Linked DNA regions of Tamandua tetradactyla. Each later gene encodes a partner of the first gene's protein in a complex. Links are inferred from orthologs where the notes say so. Each region holds a gene or a part of one and is shown on either strand. Other genes may lie near its edges. The genes, in order: NOG and BMP7.

What was found.
Region 2: the proteins of NOG (region 1) and BMP7 are in contact, whole or in part, in a crystal structure (PDB 1M4U), measured with the Homo sapiens proteins. The link is inferred for Tamandua tetradactyla from reciprocal best matches to the Homo sapiens genes NOG and BMP7. Residues at the interface, in NP_005441.1 of Homo sapiens: His29, Tyr30, Leu31, His32, Ile33, Arg34, Pro35, Ala36; in NP_001710.1 of Homo sapiens: Phe365, Pro366, Leu367, Asn368, Ser369, Asn375, Ile378, Val379.

What each region holds. Positions count from the first base shown.
Region 1 is NC_135332.1:37,565,249-37,578,859, reverse strand, and holds NOG (noggin), read right to left. Parts: upstream 5,201-13,611; coding exon 4,502-5,200; 3' UTR 4,449-4,501; downstream 1-4,448. UniProt on the Homo sapiens protein: Inhibitor of bone morphogenetic proteins (BMP) signaling which is required for growth and patterning of the neural tube and somite. Essential for cartilage morphogenesis and joint formation.
Region 2 is NC_135327.1:28,161,538-28,177,104, forward strand, and holds the start of BMP7 (bone morphogenetic protein 7), read left to right. Parts: upstream 1-9,869; coding exon 9,870-10,287; intron 10,288-15,567. UniProt on the Homo sapiens protein: Growth factor of the TGF-beta superfamily that plays important role in various biological processes, including embryogenesis, hematopoiesis, neurogenesis and skeletal morphogenesis.

The DNA.
Region 1 (13,611 bases):
CTCTATCATCACTTACGCTGGTTGTTCTTTTCTTACCTCCTCTACTACACTGCCAACTCCTTGTGTGGGGGGTGGGTGGGGAAGGGGGTCCCGTGATTCATTTCTGCAACTCAGCACTAGCACAATACCTAGCACATAATACCGTGTACAAACAAGTTTCATGGCTTACCGGGCGTGCATCCCTAGAGATCTTCAGACTTGCCAGCACATAATGTGGCATACATTGTGATTCCCAAGCCAGGCGTTCAAGTCCGTGAAGGGAAGAAGAGTCTTCAGAAGAAGCAAGGGCTTTGCAGTCAGCTCAGATTTTGAGCCATAAAGCCACTTCCTGTGTGCCTTTGGGGGCAAGATGCTTAGACTCCCTGAGATCCGTTTTCCATATCTGGAAACTGGAGATCCTGAATGGGAATGTATAAAGGCACAATGCTGGGCCCCTTGCAAGCTATTACTAAGTACGTATTTGCTGAATGGATACAACAGAATGGCTGATCATTTGGCTGTTGATCATTTGTTGATACGTTAACTCTGGGAGGACTCTACCCCCACCAAAAAGAAAAGAAGGAAGGAAGGAAAGAAGGCGGGAAGAAGGGAAGGTAGGAGGAAAGGAGGGGACTGTGAGGCCCAATAGAGAGGCCACCTGGCCTATAAGCACTGTGTGATGCTCTGTGATCTTCAGCAAGGGGCTGCTGTGGTCTCAGTCTTCTTATCTGTAAATTGAGCGGTGGGCACTGGAATCTAAGCTCCCCTCCAGCTCTGACATTCCAAGAGCATTAAAAAGAAGGGATGAATCACCCCCTCAAAATACCAATATGAGCTGGGCCCTCCCCCTGCTGTCCCCATCAAGCACAGCTAAGAGCTCTTAATACGCAGCCAGCTTCCTCCTGCAGCTGCCACCAAACTTCAACCCCCTTTCCCAGGAGTCTCAGAAGCAAGACTGATAATAGACCCCTGGCCTTCACCATCTCAACAGGGAACCAGATCCCATTCCCAGACTCAACTGGACAGAGGGCCCTCCCCAAAGAGGGCTGGTTTTTCTGTGGACCTTTAGCCATAGTTCACCTCTGTGTGGAGTGGGGGGTGGGGGGCGGGGGTGGAGGTCCTTGGAAGGGTGGAAGGAAGAAAAGGGAAGAGGTGAAAATAGAGGTTGAATGAGTGAATTCTTGCAATCATAGGGAAGGGATGGGGTGGTGGAAGCCTTGTCATTCTCTTCCAGAATTTTTTATTTTTATGTTGATGTGTATGTACCTAATCGTTATAAATTCCCATTCTCTGGGGAAGGCCTCCCAGCAGCTGCATAAGTTCATAGATACAAGCTGTCAAAGCCACAGAAGACACCAAGATCAATTTCCTTCCTTTTAGGAGATAGACTCTAGACCGCAGAGGGCAGCTTTCTTGCCTCTCTGCCCAGAGTTCTCTCTTCTTTTCCGCGTTGATGCTATTATTAGTATTATCAGCCTTAATAATAAAGGAAACGCAATTGGCTGAGCGTTAGTCACAGTGTCTCAGGACCAGCACCTCCTTCGTCCCCTTCTGGGACCGCCTGGGTCCTGCTCCGTCCTCTCTCGGCGCCCGGAGCCGCCGTGGGCCTGCCCTTTGGGTCTGTCCGACCGGTGGTCTGTCCATCGCGCGTCACGTCTGCAGCCCGGGTCCTCCCGACGCACACTGGGTCCTGCTCTGAAAGCCGAGAAGCTCGCCGGCTGCGAGAGGGTTTTCCAAGTGGGCAGGGGTGGGGAGGAGGGGCGCGGGCGGGCGGAGGGAGGAGGGGGCGCCGCGGAGGGGAAGACCTCGCATTGTAATCCAATGACATTGCCAACGTGGGGGTGGGGGAGCTGGCCTCGGCGCGCTCTCCGAGTTTTGGCTGCCGGCCCAGCTAGGAATAACTCTCTTCGCATAATTCGCGTGTTTACCAGGCATGAAAATTCTTGCTTTCGGCTCCCCCCCCCCCACTCCCCGTAAGCCCCCTCCCCGTCTCCCCTCCCCACCACCTCCGCCCCTCGCAAGTGAAACTCTGTCTAAAAAAATATTGGCCCGGGGCACAGAAAGTTTTGCATAAATTCATAAGTGATGAATGGCTGATTTTAACGTTATTTGGGTATTTGTCAGAACTTAACAAATATACATGGGGACGGCGGTTCATAAACTTAAACATCTCAATATCCCCTTTCTTCTGGAAATAAATTACGTTTGTTTGCCCGGCTTGGAGTCTTAAGGTAGCCGACATTAGGAATATTTTAAAAGCCATCATCCATCGAGCATGTCTCCCAGGCGCCAGGAAGATTAAATGAAAGAATCATAAGATGGAGGTCTTTAACTTTTAATCCTTTTACAATGAAGCCTCAGATAGTCGCGGGGGCAGGGTGCCCTCTCTGGGGGGAATAATGCCGTTATTCCTCGGCTCTCAGTTAATGAATACCCTAACGTCTGTCCCACGGCTGACGGAGGCAGCGCCGGGGAGGGGGCTCGGGCTCCCGGGCCAGGCTATTGAAACGAGGAGCCACCGAGGCTGCGTCGGAAGGGAAGAAAGCGCCCGGCTGGAGGGACAGGGCGGGCGGGGCCGGGGGCATTGAGACTGCGCTGCGGACCGGGCGCAGGTTTGAAATAATTAGCATAGATTCGCCGGGAGTCCGGCCTGGGCAGGGGGTGGGGGACAGGAGGGAGGCGCGGGGAGGTGGCAGGGGGGTGGGGGAGGGAGCAAAGGAGAGCGACTTTGGAGTCCAAGATAAATAAAGGGAGCGCGGAGCAGTGTCAGAAAGCCGGCCCACGTGGAGCTGCGCGGATGGGCGCCACCGCGGACTGACGCCGAGGGACGCACGCGAGAGTCAAGCGCCCGCCTCCGAAAGTTGGCTTGTTGAGGGGTGGGGTGGGGGTGATACTTTGCAGGTCCCTTCAAGGGGTAGCATGTCTCCCGCCCCCAACTAACCCTAAAGCTCAAAGATGCCGATTCTTATTCCTCCCCTTTGCCCACCCACAAACGGAGTAAGTGTCCAGAGCAGGGGCGCACCCCCTCCCCAGCAGCGGATCCCAAGCAGACGTTTTTCATGCAAATTCAGCCCCTTAGGAAACCTCCGCCCACAGAGCCCTCCTAAGGTCCCGGTGTGGGGTGGGGTGTGGGGGGGCGGTGAGTGTCAAATCTCAAGCTACTCCCAGCACCTCCGGCCCAGGGTCTGGGATTTCGGGGGCTGGGACCTGCAAGATGCCGGAGGCTGTGTGAGTGTCGATTCCAAGGGATCGCCTCAGCGCTCACCTCCTTAGCTTCCGGTCGTAAAAAGGGTTAACCCGGGCTGGATATCAAGGTGGGGGGTGCGAGGCCGGAGAGGTGGCGGGACCTGGGTGGGCGCGCTCTGATCCACTACCCCCCCCATTCCTCGGGGGTCAAGTTTCAGCGGCACTCCGCCCCCAGGGTAGGTGTGAAAGACACGTGTCCCCATTGTGAAGGGCCTGTCAGGCAGGACAAAGCGGCCGCCCACCCTACCCCCCCCCCCCCCGCCTCTCGTCCCAGCCTGGGGTCAGCTCCAGGGGGCCGGCTGGGTGTCGAGGTCACGTCAGGCCCAAGCTTTGGTGACATGGGGGGGAAAAGCTGGGAGACTGGGCGCAGGCCACGTGATGCTCAAGTGAGAGGTTTGAGAACAACCTCCCTCCTCCCCCTCCCGCCTCTGAGCAACTCAGCGGCCACCTCCATCAGGCCAGAGGAGGGGAGTCGGACGGGATGAGCCCCTTCTCCCAACAGGCGTTGGCACAGCGGCACCCCCACCCCGCCCCCCTCTTCCCATCAATCACCAACACAGAGAATCGCAGTGTAGAGCGCAGTCGGTTTTAGTGGTTTTCTTTAATCCTGCTCTGCACTTCTCATTTACTACACGGGATATTATAAAGAATAAATAGCAGATACTCTTAATTTACAATGATTAGTCATTCCATTTGTTCTCTATATTTACAATAACTGTAAAATAACATTGAACTCTATAGCTTCTTCGAGGTCCAAGGAAAACCAAAACACTTTCCGAAGAATGGAAAATAGCTTTTAAAAAGTCCTTCTACAAAAGTTTCTCACTCTCTTTGTACTTTAAGAAAAAAATAACTTTTCCCCCCTGCTTCGCCATGCGAAGGGCAATGAAATATAAATAGCAGGTTAACATTATTAGCAACAACCAGAATAAGTCTCTTTGCTCTGATCTTTTTTTCCTTTTGCTTATTATTATTTTTTTAAAAATACAGTAGAAGCCGGTAACTTTTAACGTATAATACTGACCTTTTAATAAGTAAATTAAAACTGGGACCGTATATACACACACACATATACATTCCTACACAGTTAAACAGTGCATTACATGAACCAGAAAGCTAGGTCTCTGTAGCCAAAAAAAAAAAAAAAAAAAAAGTTCATTGAATCCACTCGCGAGAGGATGGTGGAACTGGTTGGAGGAGGTGGCGGGGGGGGGGGGGGGGGGGCGTCGGTGGGGATCGATCAAGTGTCCGGGTGCGGGCAGGGGGCCCCCGAGTTCTAGCACGAGCATTTGCACTCGGAAATGATGGGGTACTGGATGGGAATCCAGCCGCAGCGCTGGCCTCCGCGCCGCTGACAGCGCCACCGCAGCACGGTGAGGTGCACGGACTTGGACGGCTTGCACACCATGCCCTCGGGCACCGAGCACGAGCGCTTGCTGAAGCAGCTGCCCACCTTCACGTAGCGCGGCCAAAAGCGGCTGCCCAGGTCGTTCCACGCGTACAGCACCGGGCAGAAGGTCTGCGACCACAGCCACATCTGTAACTTCCTCCGCAGCTTCTTGCTTAGGCGCTGCTTCTTGCCCGGGGCCAAGCCCTCGGAGAACTCCAATCCTTTGATCTCGCTCGGCATGGCCCCCGACGGCCGCTGCCGCAGCAGCTGGTCCAGCTCCGCCAGGTCCTCGGCGCCCCCGGCCGCCCCCACGCCCCCGCCGGGCCGGTCCTCGGGGGGCGAGGTGGCCATGAAGCCCGGGTCGTAGTGGCCACCGAGCAGGGAGCGCAGCAGCGTCTCGTTCAAATCCTTTTCCTTGGGGTCAAAGATAGGGTCCGGGTGTTCGATGAGGTCCACCAGGGGCAGGTTGTCGCTGGGAGCCGGGCGGATGTGGAGGTAGTGCTGGCCGCCGGCCGGTGCCGCCCGCAGCCCCAGGACCACCACCAGGGCGTAGAGGGTGACCCCCAGGCTGGGGCAGCGCTCCATGCCTCCGGCGCGCGCCCGGGGCTGCTGCTTCGTCCCGCGTCCCCGGAGGAGAGCACGCCGAGCCCGCGGCGCCTCCGCCGCGCTCCCCTGTCTGTCCGGAGGTGGCTTACCCGAGGCTGGGCAGGCGCAGGGCGGGCAGCATGAGCCGCTGGGAGAGCCCTTCGCGCAGCGTCGGCTTCCACCCGGGCGGAAAAAAGGCACACAAGTTGGCTGCAACTCCTCTCTCCGGTCTATTCGGGAAGGCGGCCGCGGCAGGGCATCCGAAATTACTCCAGGGCGACCGCGGGGCGCTGGGGGCGCCGACTCCTTGCTGCTTTCCCCAGCCGGCGGCGGCGTAGGGCGCGTGGACGAGCCGCTCTCCCCTCCTCCTCCTCTTGCTCCTCGTCCTGCCGCTCTGTGCAGCGCCGCTGGCCGAGCGGGTCCCGGGGGCACTTCCCTCCGCCTGCTCCGGGCTCCGTAGCCGGCTTTGCCCAGCGGACTCCAGCAGCGGCGGCGGCGGCGGCGGCGGCGGCGTCCGCTCACGTTGGCACCGGTTTGTCTGTCTCGCAGGGTCCAAGCCTTTAAATTTCCTGCACTTTCAGCTCCATCACCATGGAAACCACTGACTCTCTGGGCTTTGCCCCCTCCCCCTCCTTCCCCCCAAACAACAACCCCACCCCCCACTTCTCCACCCCCGAGGAGCTGGAGCCGCACAGGCTCAGGGGGAAGCCGCCTGCATTCGCCGTGGAGGCGGCGGCGGCGGCTTCGGCAGCGCCCAGGGCTGTGCCCCGCCGGACCCAGATGCCCCGGGAAGCCGACAGTCCGACTGCTCGCCCCAGCTCACAGGCGGCGGCGGCGGCGGCGGCGGTGGCGGCGGCGGCGGCGGCGGCGGCGGCAACGGCGGCGGCGGCGGTGGCGCTTGGCAGGTCTCCGCGCAATTTTCTCTCTCCCCCACCACCCACCCCCCTTCTCCTCCTCCTCCTCCTGCAAAATGCACCGCCCCCCTCCTTTCTCCTGGAGCAATGCAACTGGGGCTCTAGGCGCCCCGCCAGGGCCAGTTCTGGGGAGAGCTCGCGGTGGCGCTGGAGCCGGGCTGGAGGGTGCAGGGCCGGTTTGGGGGTTGGGGGAAAGACTCGAGATGGGGCATGGAGGGCTCTTCATTAGCTGGGTGCTTTGCACTGGGAGGGGAGCAGCGGAGAGGTGCCGGGGACTCGTTTGTCCGTGCGATTCCGAGCAAGGAATTTCTCCATGTGCACTAAGCGTTTTCCCCGGGAGCTTCTCGCCTTCCTCTCTCCCGGGCTCGGTCTCTTGACCCCTCCCCCAACGCGCGCGCGCGCGCGCGTACACACACACACACACACACACACACACACACACACGCACACGGTGTGCGTCTCCCCTCCCCAACACACACACACATATATGGTGTGCGTCTCCCCTCCCCAACACACACACACACACACACACACACTCTCTCTCTCTCTCTCTCTCTCTCTCTCTCTCGCTCTCTCTCTCTCGCTCTCTCGCTCTCTCGCTCTCTCTGGCTCTCTCTGTGCCCGGGGAGTAGTGAGCCGTAGCATTGCCTAGCGTAATGTAGTAATGTAATTCATAGGAAAGGCTTCTGCCTGTCTGCAGCCCCCCCAACCCCCCGCCCGGGTCCAAGAAGGGGGTCGGCTCCTCACCCTCCTCCACCTCTTCCTTGGCCAGGTTCTGCGCCCCGAATGGCCGAGTCACAGGGGTGCGTCCGCTCGCTTGCGGCTCCCCTGGCCCACTGGGGATCGCGCGGCAGCCGCTCGGCTCCCTGGTGGCGGCGCGCCCTCTGCTGGCCCCCGGCTAGCCCTGCACCTGGCTCAGGCGCGGGCGGCCTTAGGAGGTGAGCTGTCAGACGACCGCGCTGCCCAGCTCAGTTTCTGCTTCTGTGTCCTTGTCATTTCTTGTGTTTGTGTTTCTGCGTGTATTGATGGGTCCTTTCTGGTTCTCTCGAAGCTCTCCAAGACCTTCAGCGTAAACAAACTTTCTGAGATTCCTCCCCACGCCCCTCACATTTCACACAGATCTCTTGCACACCTCTGCCTCCGCTAAACCGGCCCGGTGGAAAATAGTGGGAACCAGAAACTTAAAAGATGCACTGACAAGAGGGGGGCCTGAATCCCGGCTGGGGTTCACCCTGACATAACTATGTTAACCTTGGACAAGTCACTTTCCCCCCATATATCTTAGTTTCTGCATCAGTGAATTACCTTGCTGGGATTCTAATAAACCTGCACCATACTTTCTCTTTCAGAAACAGTTTATCTTTGGTGGAAGGTGGGTACTGAAATGATACTTGCGGTTAATTTTTCCCTTGGATGAGGATGTAGCCTTCACAACCCAAGTGGAGTTTCCTTTGTGGTGGGATGTGATTGTAGTCTGGCTAAAGCTTGAGAAAAGAGACATGAAGCGTATGATTCAAGTATTCACCAGTATTCCATGGAGTAGAAGTTTTGAGGCCCCTTTGTGGCAGCCTAAACCACTCCAATTTCTTAACTCAGGGATCTAGTTCTCCCTAACAACCTGTTCTGCCCTCCGCATACACACATACAGAAGTTTTTCTGCTGTCTAGGAAGAAAATGCACTTTGTTTCACCGAACATTCTATCTACAAAACCTCAGCTGTTGTGAGGGATGTCAGTTTTAGATGAAAATGTCTTCCTACACTGTCAAGTCTAGACAACAACTAGAATTGGTCTAGCATGGTACCTGTCAAAGGAGAGTTTGCTTTGATGAATGCTGTAGGTAAGAATAACTCATTGGTTGTTGAAATTGGATTGATTCTTAATTAATGTGTGATTTGAATCTGACACATAGTAGGATCTTAAACAATACTCCTTTTTTTCTGATATGTTTGTTTCCTCATGAAGATTAATCGCTCAGAGCAATCTTGATGATACTATGAATTAACTAAGAAAACAATTTTTTCAGTAAAAAGTTCAAAGGCAAATTTTTAGCCCCCCCTTGGTAGATTTCCATAGTGACATTTTATTGTACTGTTTTCTGTTCCATCAGTCTTCCTCTCCTCTCTTACAAATCTCTGATTTTTTTTGTTTGAAAACCAGCCCAGACCCCTTAGCCTTTTATTTAGGTTGGGTAGATTTGACTGAACAGTTAAAATTTTTTTGAAAAGCCCCCTTAAAAACAAAAAAACAAACCATGTCTGAGATTAGATTGGGCGACCTGTTTATGTTTTACAGACACACACTTGTGAAGACCATGGGGTAAAAAGACAAAGGAAAGAGGATTCACAGTGGATCTCCACCTCATTCCCAGGACGCTGATGGTCCACTCAAGGAAGATATGACGAACATATCAAGAAAACATTAAAAGAGCATGGGGGGAAAAATCCGTAAATTCCTAATAACAGTGTAGAACAGTGTCTCTTTCTTGATCAATATAGTAATTTCATGCCCTCTTTTGAATGTTGTTTGAAATTTTATAATTCCTTATGCTGTGCAAAAAGAAGTCAGAGGGATTGTAATGTTAGATACAGTGTTTTGGAACCCCACCTACCCCTCTTACGGTGGTGGTGAAACGCGACCTGGGGAGAGCCTGGAGCTCCCCACTCTGTACCACACTGCAATAGCTCATGCACTTAGGTGTGGAGGGAATAGAGGGGTGTTGGCATCAGAAACTAAGCCCTGCCAATGCCTTCATGGAAGAACTGTGCTTGAGGAAAAAAGCTACATTTGCTTGAGTAGGAAGAGGAGGAAATTTGAGATATGTGCATATATGTTATGAGTGTGCTTGAAGAGGAGGGCCACAATGTAGGAGGGGCTGCCAGAAGATCTGGGGGTCTGGGTGGTGGAGGAAGACTACATCACAGACAGTGGAATTCAACACGAAGATGACCGGTGGACCAGGTGACTCTTGGTTGGAATTCTGGCTTTGCTACTCTTATTAACATAGGCATGTCAACCATTCAAAGCTTCCGTTTCCTCATCTGTAAAATGGGGATAACACACGCTTCCCAGAATTGTGTCATTTAAAGCCTAACCTAGCACAGTGTGTGAGGCACACTATATAGTGGGCAATAAACTTTCAACACGGTTGTTCTTTGGGGAACCCCACTAGCCTCAGCGGGCCAGTCATCCTAGGTTTGAGCTGGCCAGGGCTGAAGGAGAATGGGGATGCTGTTGGAAGCAACTTGAACACCTTCAGGCCTGCTTTCCACCCACTGAACATGTGCAACTGAGCTACTGGTAGCTGCCATCCTTCAGGAGTTTGAAGGAGGGGACCTGGGATTTCTTTGGGGACTCAACAGCTGACCTATTTCAGTGCTTCTGCTGCTCTGTGAAAGAGGGAGCTTGATAAGCAGGACAAAGAGGGTTATATTTCTTCAAGATGAAGCTGTGGGGTGAGAGACGGACCAAGGGAGGTAGGACTATCAGCACAGCTTTCTGCTCAGGTTCTCACTGCGAGGAGTGTGGGACTTCAGTGGGGACTGGCTGGGGACTCGGCCTCAGCAGGCCCCATAGGGAAGAGACCAATGGATGATGCAAACATGGGCCCATGTTTGGCTCATCTCTCCAGGATGCCTGTCCTTGAAAAATGCTGGGCAAGGAAGGATGGAAGCACTCCTCTGCACAACTGCATCGATATTTACAGGTGGAAGGCCAGAGCAGCCCGATGGTGCACTGAGCATCTTATTTTCACTATTATTCTAGGAAAAGTCCAACAGTCTTCTCGTATCTTTGGCCCTGGAAACATGGATCTGAGGCAGCTGTGGGTGATGTGCAGAGGGCACGGTGTTTAATGTTAGGAAGCCTGGGGCCTGCCAGCTGTGTAACCTTGGGGGAGTCGTTTTAGTTTCCTGGCACTCCCGAATACATAACACTGTGGAGACATCAGAGTCTCTGTTCTTCCTGCCTTCGGCTGCGCTGCTGCTAACATTTGTTCCCAGACGTCCGGGGAACACAAGGCACTGTAAAGGAGGAAGCATAAAAACTGCCATCTCTTAAGTCCGCTGTCAACCCAGGCACATGAGAATCATCACCCTCAGATTCTGACTGTCTCAGATTCAACATATATGTTGAATTTCATGGACTTTCTCTTAGACTCAAAATAGCATTTCTTGGCCTGGCCCAATTGAGCAAAGTGAGGAAGAGTCAGCCAGCAGGTTTCCTTTTTTCTTCTCCTAACTGCCCCAAGAAAGGGAGAGTGGAGATGAAGTCCCTCTGATTGGGGTCCAAACGTGGTGGATTTAGCTTAGCCCCCGTGGGTGTTGGCAGGAGCCTGGCCAGATCAAGACTCACAGGGTGGGTGTAGAGACCCACTTCAGCTTCACAACACCTTATATGTTTTTTGTGTGTTCAGTGTTGATAACCTTCTAGTTAGAATTATGAAGTGTTGGGGGTTGGTGTGTGTGTGTGTTGGGTGGGTGGGGGGAAATGTGCGTGCAAAAGAGGGGACACATAAGAGGAGAGAAAGAGAGCAAAGGGAGAGGACGGAGTTCTAAAAGGTGGGCTGGGGTGGAAAATTGGTAAGTAAATGTGAAATATATTTTCCTGAACAGAGATAAACCTTAACAGCACAGGAGGAAGGGCGCTCAGGCTAGCTTTCTCAAGCCGGGCAGCCCCTTCCCTTCCTCAGTCTGGCTCCTGCTCAGCCTGCGGCCCCCTCCCCATCTGGCTCCACACTGGGGAAGGGGAGACGTCTCTGGAGCCCGGTGGCTCATTCATCTCCTGATAAACTGTTTATCTGAGTTTTAACGAGGGCGCCTCTCCTCCAGCCCTGGAGACAGAAGCCTCTGCGTGTTTAGCCGGCCCTGATGTGGGGGGCCTGGGGGTGGGTGGGGGCCGTGCCTGCGGGCAAATCTTCTCCCCTTTCCTTGCTTGCACAGGCTCTGAGCTTGGCCCTCAGACCCCAGCCTCACAGTGCATTGCCTTGGCAGAAAGCTCGGTCTAGGATGGAGTCAACGTTTTCCCACGCAGAGGAAATCCCTTTTGCCGCCGCTCTTTCTCCGTGCCACTGCCTTGAAAACTGTGTGTGTGTATTCTAAATAAATCAGCTTCGTGGACACTTACCATTTGTGACCCAGTATTTTAAAAGGCGTGAACTCCTGTGGGGATTTACATACAGCCTCCTGGCCAAACGCACAAGCCCCCCCCCCTCCACTTGAGCTCACATTTCCCCCACATCCCCTCATCCTGCTGACACAGATATTTATTGAGATAATATGGTCTAGTCACCTTTATCCCCTCAAAAGCTCAAGATAACAAGGAGACAGGAGCTCAGTGGAGTGAAAAATAAAGTGGAAAACCATTCCTGTTTCAGGTGAGTGGCATGATTCACGAGTTCCAGCTACTGAATCCATCAACACACATATTCGCACCTTGGAATTTTTTTCTCTAGCCACGACTCAGTCTCTTCACCAGCCAAGAAGGGGTGCGGCCTTGTATGGGCTGCCCTGGGGGAGGGACATCTGTGCTTTCATCTGTTCACCAGGTGTGCACCCCAACTTCAGACAAGCTGCTGTTCGAGGAGCGAGATGCAGCCTTTGCTCTTGGAGAGCTGAAAGATAACAGGAAAAAAGAAAAATAATCCTCAGATTACAATTCAGGGTGTCAGCTGCCATAGTGAAGGGTTGGGGAGAAGTGTTGGGGAGAGAAGGGGCTCAGAAAGCAATCCCCAGGAGATTGGGTTGGGTTCTGAAGAGGAATTCACAGTCCAGGAAGGAAGAGGGGGAGAGCACTGCGTAGAGGACATTTTGGGCAGGCCTGGGGAAGGGGCCGCGTCTTCCAAGTCCCGGGTACGAGTTGGCAGTACTGAGAGTTGGGGTTTGAGGGGTAGATGTCGGGAGAGCAGGAGCCTTGCACGGTGGGCCACTGAAGGACCTTGGACAACTCTGAATCCCATTTGAATTTAGACTTGGGTTTAGAAATACTTGTAAGAAACCTTAGGCATCACATCAGCATGGCAATTGCAGGCCTTAAATATTGCAGGTCAGCCCTATTATAAAAAAAACAAAACGAAACAAAATGCAACTCGATTCTGAAGTACATCAAGACTGAAACCCAGGCTTTTCAGTCCTAACACAGTTGTTTTTAACATCAATGCAACACTATCTCCTATGTGCAGAGAAAAATTCCTCAAAAGAGCAATAAGTTTATAAATCCTTATTTGTAATGGGCACCCCTAAAGAATGGGCTAAGTGCGTGGGATAAGAAGAGGGGATGAGAAGCTCACTTTTTACTTGATCGTGTATTTATGTAAATTTACTTTAAAAAGCACACAAAACAAACAGCAGTCACTATTTTTGTATTTAAGGAAAAAAACAATACAATCTTAAAAATCCATGAATTTAGAAGAAATAACTTGCCACAGACATTTAGTAAAGCTGGAAATGGTATTTAAAATTCTAGGTGTTGAAAAGATTTTTGCAGCCAGCACCGGGCTGTAGGGCTGACTCCTATTAGGTGATCTTAAGTTTAGTTAAATGGTTCAGTGCTCGGGTGTGATGATGAAGTGAGGGAGAAGCATATTTGGTCATTTGGCTAAAGTGAGGAGCTTTCGTGTGCAGGGGTGTGTGTGTACCGTGTCCGCTAGTATGTGACAGATGGTTTCAAGATACCTTAACCTCCTATCTCAGGCATTGAAGGAGAAATCAGAGTGCTTTTAAAATAAAGCAATACCTGCGTTAAAACCCACCACTGAGCTGAGAAACAACCAAACGAAAATGCACCCAAACCCAATCTCACGCTTGATCAAAATTCTGCAGTCTGGAATGAGTTTGAGGTGGGGGCTGGGGACTGGAAGGAAGTAACCCTAACTGATTGTTTGGAAGATGGGGTCTCCCATCGACTACAATAGGTGCTTTCTCGTCAAGTTTCCGATCTTAGGAACAAGGAGGTAAAGTTGAACATGTTTTGGGAATTTACCATTTGCTTTATGAACATCACCCTACCTAAATCTCACATGAGCTTCTGGAGTAGGGACAGTCATTTCCGCATTTTATAGGTAGGGAATTTGGAGTCCAGAAAGGAGAGGGGGCTTCCCCAAGGCCACCTCCTTTGACTCCTGGATCACCTCTGGAGGTAGCTAGAAACTTCTTGGCTCAGAGCTGTGGCACCCAAGGGGGGGCTTCCTAAATTGCCCATCTATCTGCAGCTCTCTTGCTCTGAATCCATATTTGACTTTTTTCAGGGGTCATTGGTACCAGCAGGCCAGGGAGACTTACTAGTGGGCAGTAACTTCTGGCAACCTGGTCACATAGGGGAGAGGGCTCATTTCATCTTCCGCTCCCCGCCCTCCCATAATGGAGCATGACTGTAGTAAAACAAGGCTTTTGATCAAGCTTTTCCACATCACTTTCAGGACAAACAATGTTCCTGAAGCCCCCAACTGGTTTTATTTTTCTTATATCTAAGGTTTCACTTTAGTGTCCTCACCGAGCTTCAT
Region 2 (15,567 bases), on another chromosome or scaffold:
TCTCCCTCAACTAGAGTATAAGGGATATTTTTTCTTTAATTTTCTTTATTTTTTAATTGACAAACCAAAACAACATACAAACATGAACATTCTTAACATACAAACATTCCACGCATGGTGTACAATCAATGGTTCACAATATCATCACATAGTAATATATTCATCACCATGATCATTTTTTAGAACATTTGCATCACTCCAGAAATAGAAATAAAAATAAAAAAAGAAAAAACTCATATATACCATACTCCTTACCCCTCCCTTTCATTGACCGCTAGTATTTCCATCTACCCAATATATTTAACCTTTGTTCCCCCTATTTTTTTTTCTATACCCCTTACCACTCTCAGTATAAGGGATCTTGAAAGTGTTTCTCCTGCTGCAGCCTCAGCGCCTGAATAGGGACTGTCATGTGGTGGAAACTCAATCCATATCTGTGAATGAATTCATGAATGAAGAGAATCCCAGGGGTGCTGGCATGGTTGCTCAGGGCATGCACAGCACAAGTTACCAAAATGGGGGTGGGGACCCAAGAGCAGCACAGTTCACAACTGGCACCATTGAACACTGTGGCTCTGGGCTCCTTCACAGTTTCACTGCTCCTAACCCAGCAGCTCCCACCTGAGAGCGATCAGGGCTGCCTGTGGTGGGCATCTGTGTTCACAGCCGGCCTGGGACCGTGCAAGTACTTCACTTCTGGTGTCTTATTTCATCCTCACAACATTACACTAGTAACACTAGTATACCTGTATTACAGGTGAGGAAATGAACTCAGAGACTATATTCCTTGGGTTCCAATTCGGTGCCATTGTTTCCTGGCAGTGCAACCCTGGGCACATTGCTCAACCGCTCAGATTCTCAGTTTCCTCATCTGTAAAATGGGCGTACAAAATAATACCTGCTTCAAAAAGGTTATGAGGATTAAATGAGAAGACACAGATAATAAGGCTAGAAACCTGCCCTCTTAGCTAGTGTGGTGGATTGACTTGTGCACCCCAGTTTGGGCGTGTTCTTGATCTTGGCCCGCTTTCTGGTGGGTGTGGAATCATTGAAAGTAAGAGCTCTCTAAGGTGTTAGTGCAGTTAAGGTGTGGCCCAGCTAAATCAGGTGGGGCTTTAATCCCAGTTACTGGTGTCCTTCATAAACAGAAGGAAAAATCAGATGGAGAAAGAAGCCATGGAGAGCATGGCAAGAAGCCGGAAGTCAATGGAACGCAGAAGAGAAAGGAGAAGATGCCGCCGTGTTCATTGCCATGTGAGGGAAAACCCAAGGACCAAGGCTCGTTGGCAGCCAGCCCCAAAACACCACAGTCTCCTGGGAGAAAGCATCACCTTGCTGACACCTTGATTTTGGACTTTTCCTAGCCTCAAACCTGTAAGCCAATACATTCCCATTGTTTAAGCCAATCCATTGTTTGGTATTTGTTTTATCAGCTGGGAAAACTAAAACAGTGACCACTGATGATAATGTTTGAGTGTTTCTTTCTTCCACCCAACACAGACATGCTTTATAGCACTCATCTCTAGTGATGGTCCAGGCAGAGAGAGTTGGTCGGCTCACACATGCCCTGAACTTGGGGTGAAAGTGGCATTTAGGGTTTGTGTCACTAGGACTGAGTTGTCTGGGGGGCATGAACCCTTGAGAAAGGGAAACCGCACTTGAACACTTGGCCCTTCTTGTCTGCATACTACTGCACAGGTTGTTTTGTCACCTGATGTCTCCAGGGACACTGGGCCATATGATGACTCCTACCCCCCACCCCAGGCAGAGCTCTGAGGCATGCCCACCATCAATCAGTGATTTATGTTTGGGACATATACTAAAAATTAGTCATTGTTTATTTGAAATTCAAATTTAAATGGGTGTCATGTATTTTTAGGTGCTAAATCTGGCAGTTGTACTCGGTGGCCAGTCATCCTGTGAACTGGCTTTAGGAGAGGGACCTGGTTGGAAAACTAGGGAGGTAAGAATCATGCCACCCCAGGTGTGAATGCTGGCTCTGGCATTCATTTGCTGTGTGGCCTTGGCCAAGTTCTTTAACCCCTGTGCCTCTGTATCTTCATCTGTGAAATGGGAGTTATAGCATCTCATTTCAGGATTGTGAGAAGATTGGAGATAATCTGAAAAGCGCTTGACTCAGTGCTTGACACAAGATAGCTGCATCATTAAAGCCAACTCTTATTATCCTTTGTGTCATTTAAAATGAGCTCAAATATGCTAATCTTCTCAAATGACCTTTCACTGCATGAGTCAGGACTAACCTATTTGGAGTGAGGGGTTTACCTAGGAGGAGGCAATAAAGATAAAAACCGAAGTAGAAGGGATAATTAGGACAATTGAAAAAAAAAACAAAAGAATTAGGAGAAACACATGGAGGCAGGGGAGAGAAGAAAGAGAAAGGAGGGCTGGACAAGAGCACAGTGATGTAGTAATGAGCTCCTGGGGCCTTGGGAGCTGAATTCTAATCTCAGCTCCGTCCTGACATACTGTAAGGCTTTTGGCTCACACTTCCCCTCTGGGTCTCAACTCCCCTGTCTTCAAAATGAAGGAACAGAACACACCTCTGCAGCACTTTGGTTGTAACAGAAAACTCAGAGCACCGTGGCGGGAACTATAAAACACCTTTTTCAACTCATGTAACTAAAAAGTCCTGGGAGAGAGCTAGTGTGTGGGACATCCGTACACTAAAAATTATTCGATGTTTATCTGAAATTCAAATTTAACAGGGCATCCTAATCTCTATTTTTATTTGCTAAATGTGGCCGTCCTAGCCCCTCTCTGGCCATTATTTCACCAGAGCAGCTTCACATCTGTATTCCGTAATGGGCATCAGTGAAATGCTTGCCTTGACCAAAAGTTTCAGCTTTTATCCATTATCTCCCAGGGCCCTTTCCAGCAACTTGATGCTGTATCCTGCAGGGTTGGTAGCAGCAGAAACCATCTCGTGCTAACTGGCGCAGAAAAGGAGTCCACCAGAGGACCTCGGGGGGCTCATGGAACTCCCAGGAATGCTAGAGTGCCAGGATTAAGGCACCCTGGTAGGGAACGTGGCTCCAAATTGCTCTGCAGCATGGTCTAGGCACGTGCGCAGGGCGGCTGAGGCGGATGCCTCTGATTGGCTGAGACGGACGCCTCTGATTGGCTGAGACGTGGTCACATGCCAACGCTCCGGTTGCAAAGCAGGCTGGGGCCGTGCAGTTCCAGGTGGTCGCGGGTGGGCTGTGCTTCAGAAGACCGCAAATTCCCAAACATAAGAGGGGTGCATATGCAGCTGGGTGGGTAGAGGAAAGGCACTGAGAAGGGAGATCAATGGACACCCGGCTCCTAGAGAAGAAATTTTGTTTTTTGATTTTTCTGGGAGAATTTTTCGGAGCGAGTGTTTCAGATCAATTAGCAAGGACAAAGAGCTGCAGTGCCAGTGGGAAGGGAACTGTGGAGAGGGTCAGGATCAGATGCTGCTGCAGGGGTGGGCAGGTTTCACCTTGCCATCAGCCACCATGAGCTCCTTGAAGAGAGAAGCAGATGGGCAGGTGTCGCTGTGCTGCCTTGAAATGCACCATCCTCAGTGTCCTTTGGTTGCTGGTGGGGACCCTAGATATATTCTCCAAACCTAGAAGGGCCCTTTGTGAGGCTAAGGGCCAACTGGACTCAGAGGGTAGATTTGTCCTCTTTGGTCTAATGGTTTAAAAAAAAAAAAAGGAATTAGTTGTCATCAAATAAGCAATGAGAGTCGTTACATGAAAACCCAGATTTCCAGTTTCTCTTTAACAATGAGTCTGTCTTGTAACATTGGAATCCAATTCCTGGGTGTCAGCATCCACGGGAATGTGATCTCCAGCTCACCCCAGGCCGCACCCCTCCCTATTGCCTCTTGGCCGGTGTCCTTTGCCATTTGTCATCCGGACTGTGTTCATGGTTTCCTTTGGTGGAATTGGGGGAAAGTGAGTATTCCTTGGGCCTCGCATCATGGGCATTGCATCTCTATTTATGTTACCAGGCTGGACCCTGCAGGTATCTAGTGTGGGACTTCTGCTACAAAGGGGGACCTGAAGAAGAGCTCAGAGATGCCTAGGCATTCATGGATTACTGTTAGGGCACCCACTGTACGCAAGACCTCTACCAGCACGGGGAGGTAGGAGCAGGACTGACAACCCCCCCACCCCCCCCACCACCATTTCATTGTGCCCCTGTGTTTAAGGACCCAGGTCTGTACCTGAAGCCTGCATTAGAACGCTGATTTCACTGCATGTTGCCCGCTACGTGGCCTGGGGCAGGCTCTGTCGAGTATTGAGCCTCGATGTCCTCATCTATAAAATGGGGACCATAATAATGAGTATCTTAGAGGAGAGTTGTGAGGAGTAAGGAGTTAATAAAAAGCCCCTGGAATAGTAGCTGACATGTTTGTTTCCATTTTAAGTTTCAGATTATTTTCAGCTGTGACTTCAGTAGTTTAGAGCCCTGCTACTCAACTCGCCAAAGCTAGACAAGCAGCCTCAGCAGCCCCTGGGAACTGGTTATGAATGCAGACTCCCAGGGCCTGCTCAGCCTGGCAGAAGGGGATTCCCAGGAGATTCATGCATATAGGCAGTTTGGAGACGTGCTGCTTTAGGGTAAAGCTCTGCTCTCAGATCACAGAGCAAGCCAGAGTGTTTAAGAGCCTGGGCTGTACAGAAAAATGTGGCTTTGGATCCTGTTTGGTTACGGATTAGCTGTGTGCCTTTGGGCAAGTAGCTTTACCTCTCAGAATCTTAGTCTCCTTTGTGGTCTGAGAAGCATAACAGGCCCCTCTAGATTGGAAGATCCCATGGGCTAAGGCAGCAGGGCCTAGCAGATGCTTGGCAAAAGGTCAACATTTCAGAAATGTTGGCCGCTGTTATTCACATTTTGGAAGGTCAGTCCTCTCTCTCCAAAGCTGGACCAAGGATAGTAAATGCTCAAAATCAAACCAGGCTTCCCCCAATGGAGGAAGAATTAAGAGTCGTGATAATAGCAGACAGTGCTGCAGCTTCCCCCGAGCTGTGTTTGAGAACTGGTCTGGAAACCATGCCTCGGGCATCTGCTTTCTTTGGAGTGTGTGTGTGTGTGTTTTCCCTTTGGAACTGTGGCCACTGCCAGGTGTACTTAAGACTGACAGAAGATGTTTAGTCTCTTACTCCTGTTTTTTATTTTTTTGCTTGTGTAAAGAAAACTCCTGAGTGATTAAGCAGAAGGAGCCTGAACCTCCAGTGAATTGTGCATGAAAAGCAAAATCACATTACAGGTGTGTTAAAATAATTTCTTCTCCAGAGTAGATCTCTTTGCACCCACGAGTTTAAAAACCCATGCAAAAGGAATCTCTTGGACTCCTATTCTCTGCTGGGGCCTGAGGTCCCAGGTAGTCGGGTCTTGGCCAGGTGGGGTGGACAGAGGGAGCAGCCCCTGGGTCTCCCTCGGCTGTCCTGGGTGCCCCCAGGCTGGCTGAGCTTCCTCCAGGCAGATGGTGTGAGAGCTGCACAGAAGAGGAGGTCCGTACCTTGGCTGAACAATGTGCACGTCAGCAGAATTCTTTTCTTCGTTTTATTGCCTTTGAGACATATGCTGACTGGGTCAAAACGGCTTCAGCAAGATGTGACTGATGATGTATGAAATGAAAACTCCTTGTCCGGCGCTGGGAGGCCTGCAAACTAGGGGTGTGGACACTGTGCTGGCAGGGCGGCTGGCCAGACTCAATAGCGCCCTCAGCTGCCAGGCCGTCTGTCATCCTGCTGAAGCCCCAGGTGTGGGCCAGGCCGGGGCCGATCAGATTACGGCCCCAGGAGTCCAGCGTGGGGTGCCCTGGCTTGGAGACCCACAACGGGGTGGGGGGTGGGGGGTGCGGGGGGGTGGGGGCTGGCTGCCGGGGTAACAAGATAGGCCCCAGGGAAGGTCCTGGGCCCCTGGTGGCATGGGGGCTGGGGGACAGCGGGAGGATCGGAATGCAGATTATCCTTTCATCTCCAGCCCTCTCCTTTGCGCTCTCAAGCTTCCATTCTCTTGCTGGCGTTCTTGATCTCTCCAAGTCAGGATAAATTCGCTTTTCTTTGCTTGGCCAGGAAGTAGATGTTCATGAAAAGTTTCCTTGTTGTTGTTTTTAAAACTTTTGGAGGCTCTCATGCTAACATATTTTCCTTTTCATCCAGATGGCAACTGACATTTATCAGGCGTTTTCTCTGTGTCCCCAGGCGCCATTCAAAGCCCTTTACGGGAATTAAATTCTGAATCCTTGCAGCAGCCCCAGGAGGCAGGCACTCTCAGTAGCCCATTTTCCAGGTGGGGGAACTGAGGTCCAGAGGAGTGGAGACCCTTGCCCTTGTCATGCAGATGGGAAGCGGCAGCCCAGGGTGTCCACAACTCCTGCCACCACCTGAGACCCTCTAAATGGTCTCACAGCTTTTAGCTCCCAAGCCAGCATCGGAGGCAGTTCCAGCCCAGACATTGCCTGCATGTTTGCATTCATTCATTCATTCATTTACTCCTTCCTTCATTTGTTTGGCAAGCATTAATTGAGGGCCTGGCTCAACCCTGGGACTCCTTTAGGGGAGAAAGCAGGGAAAATAAAGAGCCGCCCCCTCCCCCAGCAGGGAAAGATAAGGTTAAATAGGGGGATCTTGGGAGTTCAGAGGGGACCTTATCTTTTCCTATTGGAAGTGCCTCATGAAGGGGCTCATTCTGCATTGATTGTCACTGGACAGCTGTCACTGGACAGCTATTTACTGAGCAAATGCTGGGTGTCAGGCTCAGGATGAGCTCAGAGGAGATGCAAAGAGAGGGGCAAGTCCTTGCTTCAAGGATTTCCAGCGGCAGAGAGGAGCCTGGAGGAGATGCTGACAATCCTGTACCAGTCCTTATTTGTGCTCCTGTGTAAATCCGCAGCACCCATACCTGCCCTCCTCTCCAGGCTCATTTGCTTGTAAAACAACACCCCTCCCCACCCCTCACCCCGCCAAAACAAAAAGCTTTGCGAAATGCTTAAAAAAGCAGAGACAGTGTGGGGAGCCACTGTGATTCTCATTTGCATTTTACCTCCTGGAAGAAAGGGCTGCCTTCATCTTCACTGGCCTCTGAGGTAGCAGGTATAGCCGCTTCGCCCCTGGCGAGCCAGCATGGGGGTGCATGGGTGGTGGTGGTGGTGGAACCCTTTCCCGGTCCCCAGGGCTTGGGCATTCGCTGTCCCTCTGCCTGGCTCAGGTCAACGACAACTCCTCCCTCACCACCTTACCTTGTTTATTTCCTCTGTCGCTTATCCTGAGCTGAAAGGAGCAGGTTGTTGAGTTGTGCACTCTGCCTCTGGTGGAACCTCGAGGCCACCGGCACTCTCTGACTTCCCATCACCCCCGTGGTAGCCACCCCCTCCACAATGCTCTCAGCCCACCTGTCCTCCCTCCTCACCCTCCTCCGCCTGCCTTCCAGCTGCCCAGGGTGCCAGAGAGGAAGGATGGACATGGGCTGCCTCCTCTCCCTCCCCTCCCCAGCCAAGCCTGATTTAAGGTGCCAGGTTTGCTGCCCCTGACCTGAAAGCCAGTTCCTTGACAGTGGCCACCTCACGGGCTCCTGCTGTACCCCCTGTTAGCACAATGTCAGGCCATGGGATTGCCACGTTGGGGGGCCCAGTGCAAGATGAAAATGCGGGGCCCTTGTTCATGGAATATTAAGAAATTCAAGATGGCGACAAGGGAGCATTAAACAAGTGTGGGCCTTTCTGAGCACCAGCCCTGGGGAGACTCACGGGCTGTACTCTGACCCTGTTCGGTGACCAGGAAGTGCTCAGGAGTGAAGGGCTGATGGGCAGTTCAAGGGGCCCCAATCCTAGGTAAGGGGCTCAGGCCTGGGGGCTATTTGACATACCCTTCCTCCTCACTGAGCCTCTGGCCTCTTCTCTCAACCCATGTGACCCCCTTACTCCAGCCTCTTGTCTGAAAGCCCCAAAGAGAGATCGGGAAGGCTGTAAGCAGAACTGTCTCTGCTGGAGAATACTGGAAAAGACCAGCTTGGCCAAGTTCCCCTTCATCAGCCTTCCTGCTGCAGGGAGGACCAGCCCTTCGGGCCTAGCCAGACCCTTCAAAAGTAAATCCCCTGCCCCAAACCTAGCCTTCCACCTTACCGCGTTGGATGACTCTCCATCTAGCCCACCCAACGGGAGTCACCACTTTGTATGCTTGCCTCCTCGGGGTAGAACCAGAAAGGAAGGAGGCAAGATTTGAAGTTCAACTCACGGTGCTCCCTGCTGCTCACGGTGAGGTGTTCTTCTGCTCCCACTTTTACAGAGGAGGAAACTGGGGCTCTGGGGAGCAGAAATTCACATATGGTCCAATAGCTGGCAGAGGGGACCCATAGGTTCTGAGCTGTCTGGCTCAGTTATGTTTGTGGGGAGAATGAATGAGGGAAGGTGTGGGGAGGGCAGAAAGGAGGCAAGGAGGAGCTGGCAGGTGAGGTCTCAGATAAACTAGGTGCCAAGGCAAGCTGCCTGCCCCCACACACGGTCAGGGTGGAGAACTGCGGGGGAATGTCAGAGAGTGGATGGCTGTTCTGGGGAGTTGGAAATAAATGGAGCCCAAAAGAGGAGGAGAGGGGAGGAGTTACTCCAATTTCATCTACTCATTCAACAAGTATTGCTTGGGCAGGGCAGTGGCTACCAGGTGTTGGATTTAAGGGCCTAGGGAGACGAGAGCAACCTTATGGGGAGACACACTAAAGAATTCTCCGCAAGATAAAATAATCATGTGTAAGAGTGAGGGGGCAAGCCACCTTAGCTGCCCTGGTCTGGGAAGCGCTCTGGGAGAAGGTGACAGCCAGGTAGACTGTCCAAGCACCGGGTATGGAAAGGGAAGTGAGGGGGTAGTGGAGAGTTTGAGGCAGAGGGAATTGCAAGTGCAGAAACAAGTTGGAGACAAAGTTGGGGGGAGGCGCAGCAGGGTGAGCATGGCTGCAGGGCAGAAAGCTGGAGGGCAGAGGGACAAGATGGGCTCTTGTGACACCTCCTCTGCGACTTCTCCTCTGATTCCCGCGCCTGCTCAGAGCTTCATCCATTATATCCCGGATTCCAGGGTCCCGCTCGGGCCTCCTTTCCATCCCGACTGTAAGTCCCGGGAGGGCAGGGCCGTCTCGGATTCCTCCCTTCGAAGCCCCGCGGCGCCCGACCCGGTGCTGGACACCCTGTGGGCACTCGGTAAATATTTGTCGAGCGCGCTAAAAGGGATGAATGAACCCATTGGGCGCAGTTGGGGGGAGGGCGGGGCCGAGGGCAGGTGGGAGGCCGCCGGCGCGGGAGGGCCCCTGGAAGTCCGTCCTCCTCCTCCTCCTCCTCCTCCTCCCAGGCCCCAACGCGTACCACTCTGGGGCTCCCGAGGCGGCCTCTCGTGCGATCAGGGACGCACAGGGCTGGGAAAGCGATCCGTGAGCCCTGCTTTCCGCGCCGGAGGTCGGAAGAGAGTGGGTCGCGGCCGCCGGAGGGCGAGAGCGCCGGAGGAGCGGGAGGAAGGAGCGCTCGCTCGCCAGCTGCCTCGCTGCCTCCCCGGCGCCTGCTCTCGCCGGCTGGGAGGTTGGCTGGCTGCTCCTCCCACCCGCGCCAGCCTCTTCGCTAGCTTGCTGGTTGGAGCTGGTTTCCAAGCCCCGCGGTGCGCCCGGGGGACTGCGGGGCGAGGGGCCCCAGGGCCAGCGCCGAGCCGGGGGCGGGGGTCCGGGCAGAGCGCAGCCGGCCGGGGAGGGGCCATGTCCGGCGCGGGCGCGGCGGGGCCCGTCTGCAGCAAGTGACCGATCGGCGTGGACAGCTGCCTGCCCCTCTCCGCCACCTGGGGCGGCGCGGGCCCGGGTGCCGGGAGCCGGGTGCCCGGGCGGCGCGGAGAGCCGGCGCGATGCACGTGCGCTCGCTGCGCGCCGCGGCGCCCCCCAGCTTCGTGGCGCTCTGGGCGCCCCTGTTTCTACTGCGCTCCGCCCTGGCCGACTTCAGCCTGGACAACGAGGTGCACTCGAGTTTCATCCACCGGCGCCTCCGCAGCCAGGAGCGGCGGGAGATGCAGCGCGAGATTCTCTCCATCTTGGGCTTACCCCACCGCCCGCGCCCGCACCTCCAGGGCAAGCACAACTCGGCGCCCATGTTCATGCTGGACCTGTACAATGCCATGGCGGTGGAGGAGGGCGGCGGGCCCGACGGCCAGGGCTTCTCCTATCCCTACAAGGCTGTCTTCAGTACCCAGGGCCCCCCTCTGGCCAGCCTTCAAGACAGCCACTTCCTCACCGATGCCGACATGGTGATGAGCTTCGTCAACCTCGGTGAGTGAGGGCGGGCGGGAGGGGTGCGCGTCTTGGGCCGGGCGCCGCAGGACAAGGAGGGGGCCGCCCCTTATGTTCAGTCCGCCCACCTCTCCACTCCCGGAGGTTTGCCAAGCCGCCGGTGCCTGCCTGGTCGAGAGTCCCCCAACCCCCAGCCCAAGTGGACCCCAAGCTGAGCGCGGCCCCAGGTAGCGTGAGCCGGGCTCGGCTGGCCTGTTGCTGTTATTGGGAGGGAGGGAGCCGCCTGAAGCCCCCTTGGGGTACGACGCGGGCCGCACCTCTAGTGTTGGAGGCGCCGGGCCCGGCCGCGGTTCAGTTCAAAGCGCGGGGCTCGGTCATGTGAGCTGCCCGCGCTACCTGAATTTAAAGAGTCTTTCTAGTGAAACCGCCTTCCCGCCCTTCTTCGGTGCCGCTCAGCCCTGCCCAGCCCTGTCACCGCGGCCGTCGCGGCCCCTTCCCGCCTTGGCGAGCCCCACCTGTCCCCTCGCTGGGCCGCCCGCCGGAGCGTGCTGCGCGCCCCGGGCGCCCCGGAGCCCCTCTCCCCGGGCACCCCCCTCTCTCCCGGCTCTACCCGCCGGAACTGGGGAAGAAACGTTGCCGTTGCGAGCTTTCTATTTTAAAATATTTAATGATAGGTCCCGGGCGGGTAGAATCCATTTTCAGCTTTTATCACGTGTGGCGCGCCAACCACCGGTTTGGGCGATTGGGTGGCGCGGGATCTCTGAGCAGACGCCACCGGGGGCGGCTGGGGGACCCGGATCCCGACGGTAGCCGCGATGACACCGGCGACGGAAAGCTGGGGCTTCGGCGGGGGCCCCGTGGCTCCCCTCGGTAGGGGCTGCGTACATTCTCCAGACTTGCGCAAACTAACCCCCGACAGCGCACTGTGGGGCGGAAGACCAAATATTTGATCTCAGAGATAAAGCACCCCGATAGCGCCGTTTCCCCAGCCGCTTTTATTCTACTTGCTGCGAAAATCCGAACCGAGTCAAGACAGCAAACTTCCACCCACGGGCTCTGTGTCAACATCGAAATAATGACCCTAAATCCCCACGTCGGGTACCTGGGGAGTGGATGGGGGTGGGGGAAAGCAGGGATCGGGTTTAATGCTTCCCGCCCCAGGTACCCTGGACGCCATTGTCTGTCTTAAATGATAACCAAACATCAACTAGTGAAATGCGCTTTGGCGAGCAAGGGGTGGGAGATTTAGATGCCCAGGTAAGTTCAAGAAAACTTTGAGTTTTATTAGCAGCCTGGTAGGAGGGAGGCAGCTGCACAGTCCGGATTTAGAAACTAACCAAGGTATATGAGGTGGAAAACAGCAAGGTGCAGGAATCAGTGAGTCTGCGTGTGTGTTTGGGTATCATCCCTGCCCTTCCTTCTGCAGGAAGACACCATGACAAACTGCAAATAGATTTAGTGAGGTGGAGGCAGAAGTGGGGCTGGGGCTTACCGGTGGTAGAGGGGGTTCTGATTTTTCACTCTCTGTCTGCACTTTGATCTGTGGCCTTTTTTTTTTTTTTACAGTGTGTATTTATTACCTGTAGCAAATCTAAAGAAAAATTATAAAAATGGAAAAGTAGACGTGGAGCTTCTGTTCTTTCCTGAAGTGGGGGTGGGGTGGGGGTGGGGCAGGGTTAAACCAGGACCCTTTCTCTGGCTGAGGATCCAAACCTCTTCCCTTCTGTTGGTTCAGATGGGTTCCCAGCACTGAATGAAGCAGGTCCCACCTGCAGCCTTGGGAGCCTGGCTGGGGTCGTTAAAAAGGCATTTGTAAGCCCTGGCTTCTGTAGAAGGCTCTGCAGACTCAGTCCAAAAAGTGCCCCATGCTTGTAGATTGGCAGTGTGGCTGAACCCCGGGCTACCACCCCCTTCCCACACCCCATCCCAGAGGAGTGAGTGCCTCTGGGTAGCTGGGGTAGGGCTGTTTGCTTCCCCCTGCTGTGGAGGTGGGGGTGGTGGGGGCGGTGGGAACGAGTTGGGACTCGTTTGGGAAGGCCCCAGTTGGGTGGTTTTCCTCCTGTGGGTGTACACACACCTTTCAACGCCGTTAGCCCTGTTTCTTTCATCTTGCGAGGACAAAGACCAGCTTGTCTGAGCCTCTTCATCAGCTGGCCTGGCTCTGGGCTCCGTGGGACAGTCCTGACTTTCTCAGGTCTAACTTTGTGGAACATCACTCCGAATTAGATGGTGGAGTGGCTATTAACAGGGCACGCTGAGCTTGTTTTTTCTCTCTCTCTTTCCTAAAACGAAAGGCACTTCATTAGATGAAGACCTGGAGTACAGTTTGGCAAAACTCTTCCTGTAGAGCCTTCTAGGGCTGGCCTTTAATTTCTGCTCAGCAACAACACATGCATAAAATGTCTGCCCCTTCTATTCTGCCTTGGCTCTGGAATTTCTCCGTAGGAGGGGTGGTGGTAATGGGGCTGGAGGGGAAGGGGGCAAGTAGGGCACTTGTCCTGCAGCTGAGTTTACTGAGAAAGCACACTGTCCCCTTGGCCTGTAGATCCTATCCATCCGTAATATACAAACTTTTCAAAAGGTACGTTCAGTCACACTTTCCGTTAAGAGTGAGAAAATGTCACTTGTCCATATCAAACCACTGCTCGCTACATTCAGGAAACTTTGAGGGCCCAACTGATGGAGACCTTGGTGGCAGAGGGGTAGGCTGACCTCTTGCATGCTCTGTCTGTCCTATGTGGGCGCGGGGGGACGTCAGCCTGGACACTGAAGGCTTTTGCAGACCTCGTGCATTTAATTTTTTTCTCTGTCTGCAGCCAAACTAGTTTTTGTTCCTATAAGTCGTTCTGTTCGGAATTCAAGCTTTTTGCCAGGCTGAGCGAGATCTCAACGAGAGGGGAGCTAGAGGGGAATTTACTACAAAACCAGGCACTGGGAACGAGGACTTCAGACCACACCTATGACAAAGGCCAGCCTGTGTCACGGGACCCCTGTAAGCCTCGCTTAATTGTGGGAGTGGGCTCACATCCTCCCAGCCTGGGCCCCTGAAGTTCAATGGTGGGATTTGTAAACTGGTTTGGATTAACAAGTCCCCAACTCCTCTGTGTAGACTTAATTTTGGAATTCAAAATTCAGTGACAGCCTTCCACTATTGTTCCTTTGGAAAAATTCAGCAGCTCCCTTTGGAATCTTCTAAAGAAGGCAACTGGCAGTAGGAATGTACAATTAGAGTTTATCTCTGGTCCACATTACAGAGGAACCAAACTGGTTTACTCTTGGAAGCCGAAGTACAAGAAGAGAGAGTTGGAAATCCGTCATTTTTAGAGCCAGCATCTATAAGTGGCTTTTGTTAATAGGAGCTGAAGAGCGAGGAGGAGGCCGTGCAGTTTGAGTTGTACTTCATACCATCTGGCAATCCTTTTTGTTGACAAGTGTTTGGCATTAAGAGCTTTCCTTTTGCCCCTTAAGAACAGGCTCTACCACTGTAGAGTATTAGAAAAAGATTCTGTTACAGTTTAAAAATTTCCTTCAGGGAGTGCTTTGCGAAGGCAGCATGAGCTACAGGCATTTGCAGCTGTAACCTGGCTTGTGTTAAAATTTGGAAGGGGCGGTTCCACATTCCAGCGCCCCGGCACTGAATGCGGCCTCACTGGTGAGCAGCCAAAGGTTAATATAGATGTCACACAGGCTTTCCCCCTTCTTTCTTGCTTTCTACAGAGCGCCTTCGCTATAGGAGTGCACCGACAGCTGTGTTTTTAGTAACCCTTTCAAAATCACTTCTTTTAAACCTCATTTTCCTGCTTATATAAATCAAAAGATTTCCCCCTCTTTTCCCAAGGATGTGTGACCCCAATGTGAACTTTTTTGATCTTCTATGTAATTCCCTTCTGGAATCAAAGCAGGTTAAAATGGAGCCCTGGATGCCAGCTTGGGTGGCTTTTTTTTGTTTGTTTTTATTCCAGGATTGTCCTTCGGAAGGGGTAAGGGAGGTGGCTCAGATAAAAATAGGGTATGGGCAGCAAAGGACCAATCCTCTGAGTTTCCAGAGAGAAGAAATTGTTTCTGCGCTGCAGACCTTGCAAGCGGCAGTTCAGGGCCTGGTGCGTAGTAGGCCCTCAAACTTTTGCTGAGACGTACACAGCTGGTGGGCTATCCCCCATGGCTGGAATGCCTGCGATATGAGCGAATATCACATGTCCGCCGAACCCAAGACAAGTGATGACTTCATCCCAGGGAGAGTCCTTCTCATTGATTGATCACCCCCTATTGCTTTAATTTCTTTCTTTTTTTCTTTCCTATTTGGTAAGATCATGTTTGGCTCATTGCAAGAAGCCCTAGCCCTCCCCTGCTCCACCCATCCCCAGTCTCTGCATCCACTTAACTGGCTGAATATTTTGAATGGAGGACCCTTTGTGCCAAGCGGCAGGCCACCTTAGTTTTTTTCCGCGGCCACTTTTCAGACCTCTAGTGGGGCTTGTTGACATGCTCATTTTTGGCAGGCTGTTGCAACGCTTCGTCTTAATATACTCTGGCAGTGTCACCGGGGTTAGGGCGAAGCCAAGGATGTGTGGAACCTGTCATGTTATTGTCAGAAGGTATGCGAGGATTAGCTTTTACAAAGCGGTGGTGGGAGAGCCCTGCAGCTGTGTACACTTATTATAAAAGATTTAAGTCCCACTGGTAAAATCAATATATTGAATTGCATGACCCTCTGCTTTTAATTAGTTTAAATCAAATGTGCTGGTGCCATTTTGCCTCCTCTCACCTTCCTGGGGTGAGGAAATACCAATATTTACACAGAGACTGCTAATTTGTCATGAAAATGATAACACATTTAGCTTTACGCCCCCAAATTGCTCCCCCTTGATGGATCCAGGCTCAGTCCAGAGCTGAGAGGTGACATCACCAAGGGACAACATCAGGGTTGTCTGTTGCTTGGAGTCTGGGTGCCAGGAAACAGGTGGGCATTTCATCAGGCTGGGTGGCTGAGGATGCAGGTCTTTTGAGAACTCTCTGCTGTTTTCATTCACAAGACAGAAATACCAAGATTCACCTATGTCTTCTAAATCCTAAGCAGTCCTACAGAATCGCTAACCAGGCACTTGATTTCTTGGCTGTTTTTTTGAGTCTTTTCTCCCAGCACACTCGGTCTTTTACACTGGGCGGCTCAGGGCACGGCACTTTATTTATTGCAGAGCTTCAGATGCTTTTCTTTCCAATTCATGAAGCAGTTCGCAGAGAAAGGGGGGTTCTTTCATTGCAGATAATTCTGGGGACGATCATAGCTATTATACGAGTCGTTCGCTATTAACTGTGTGC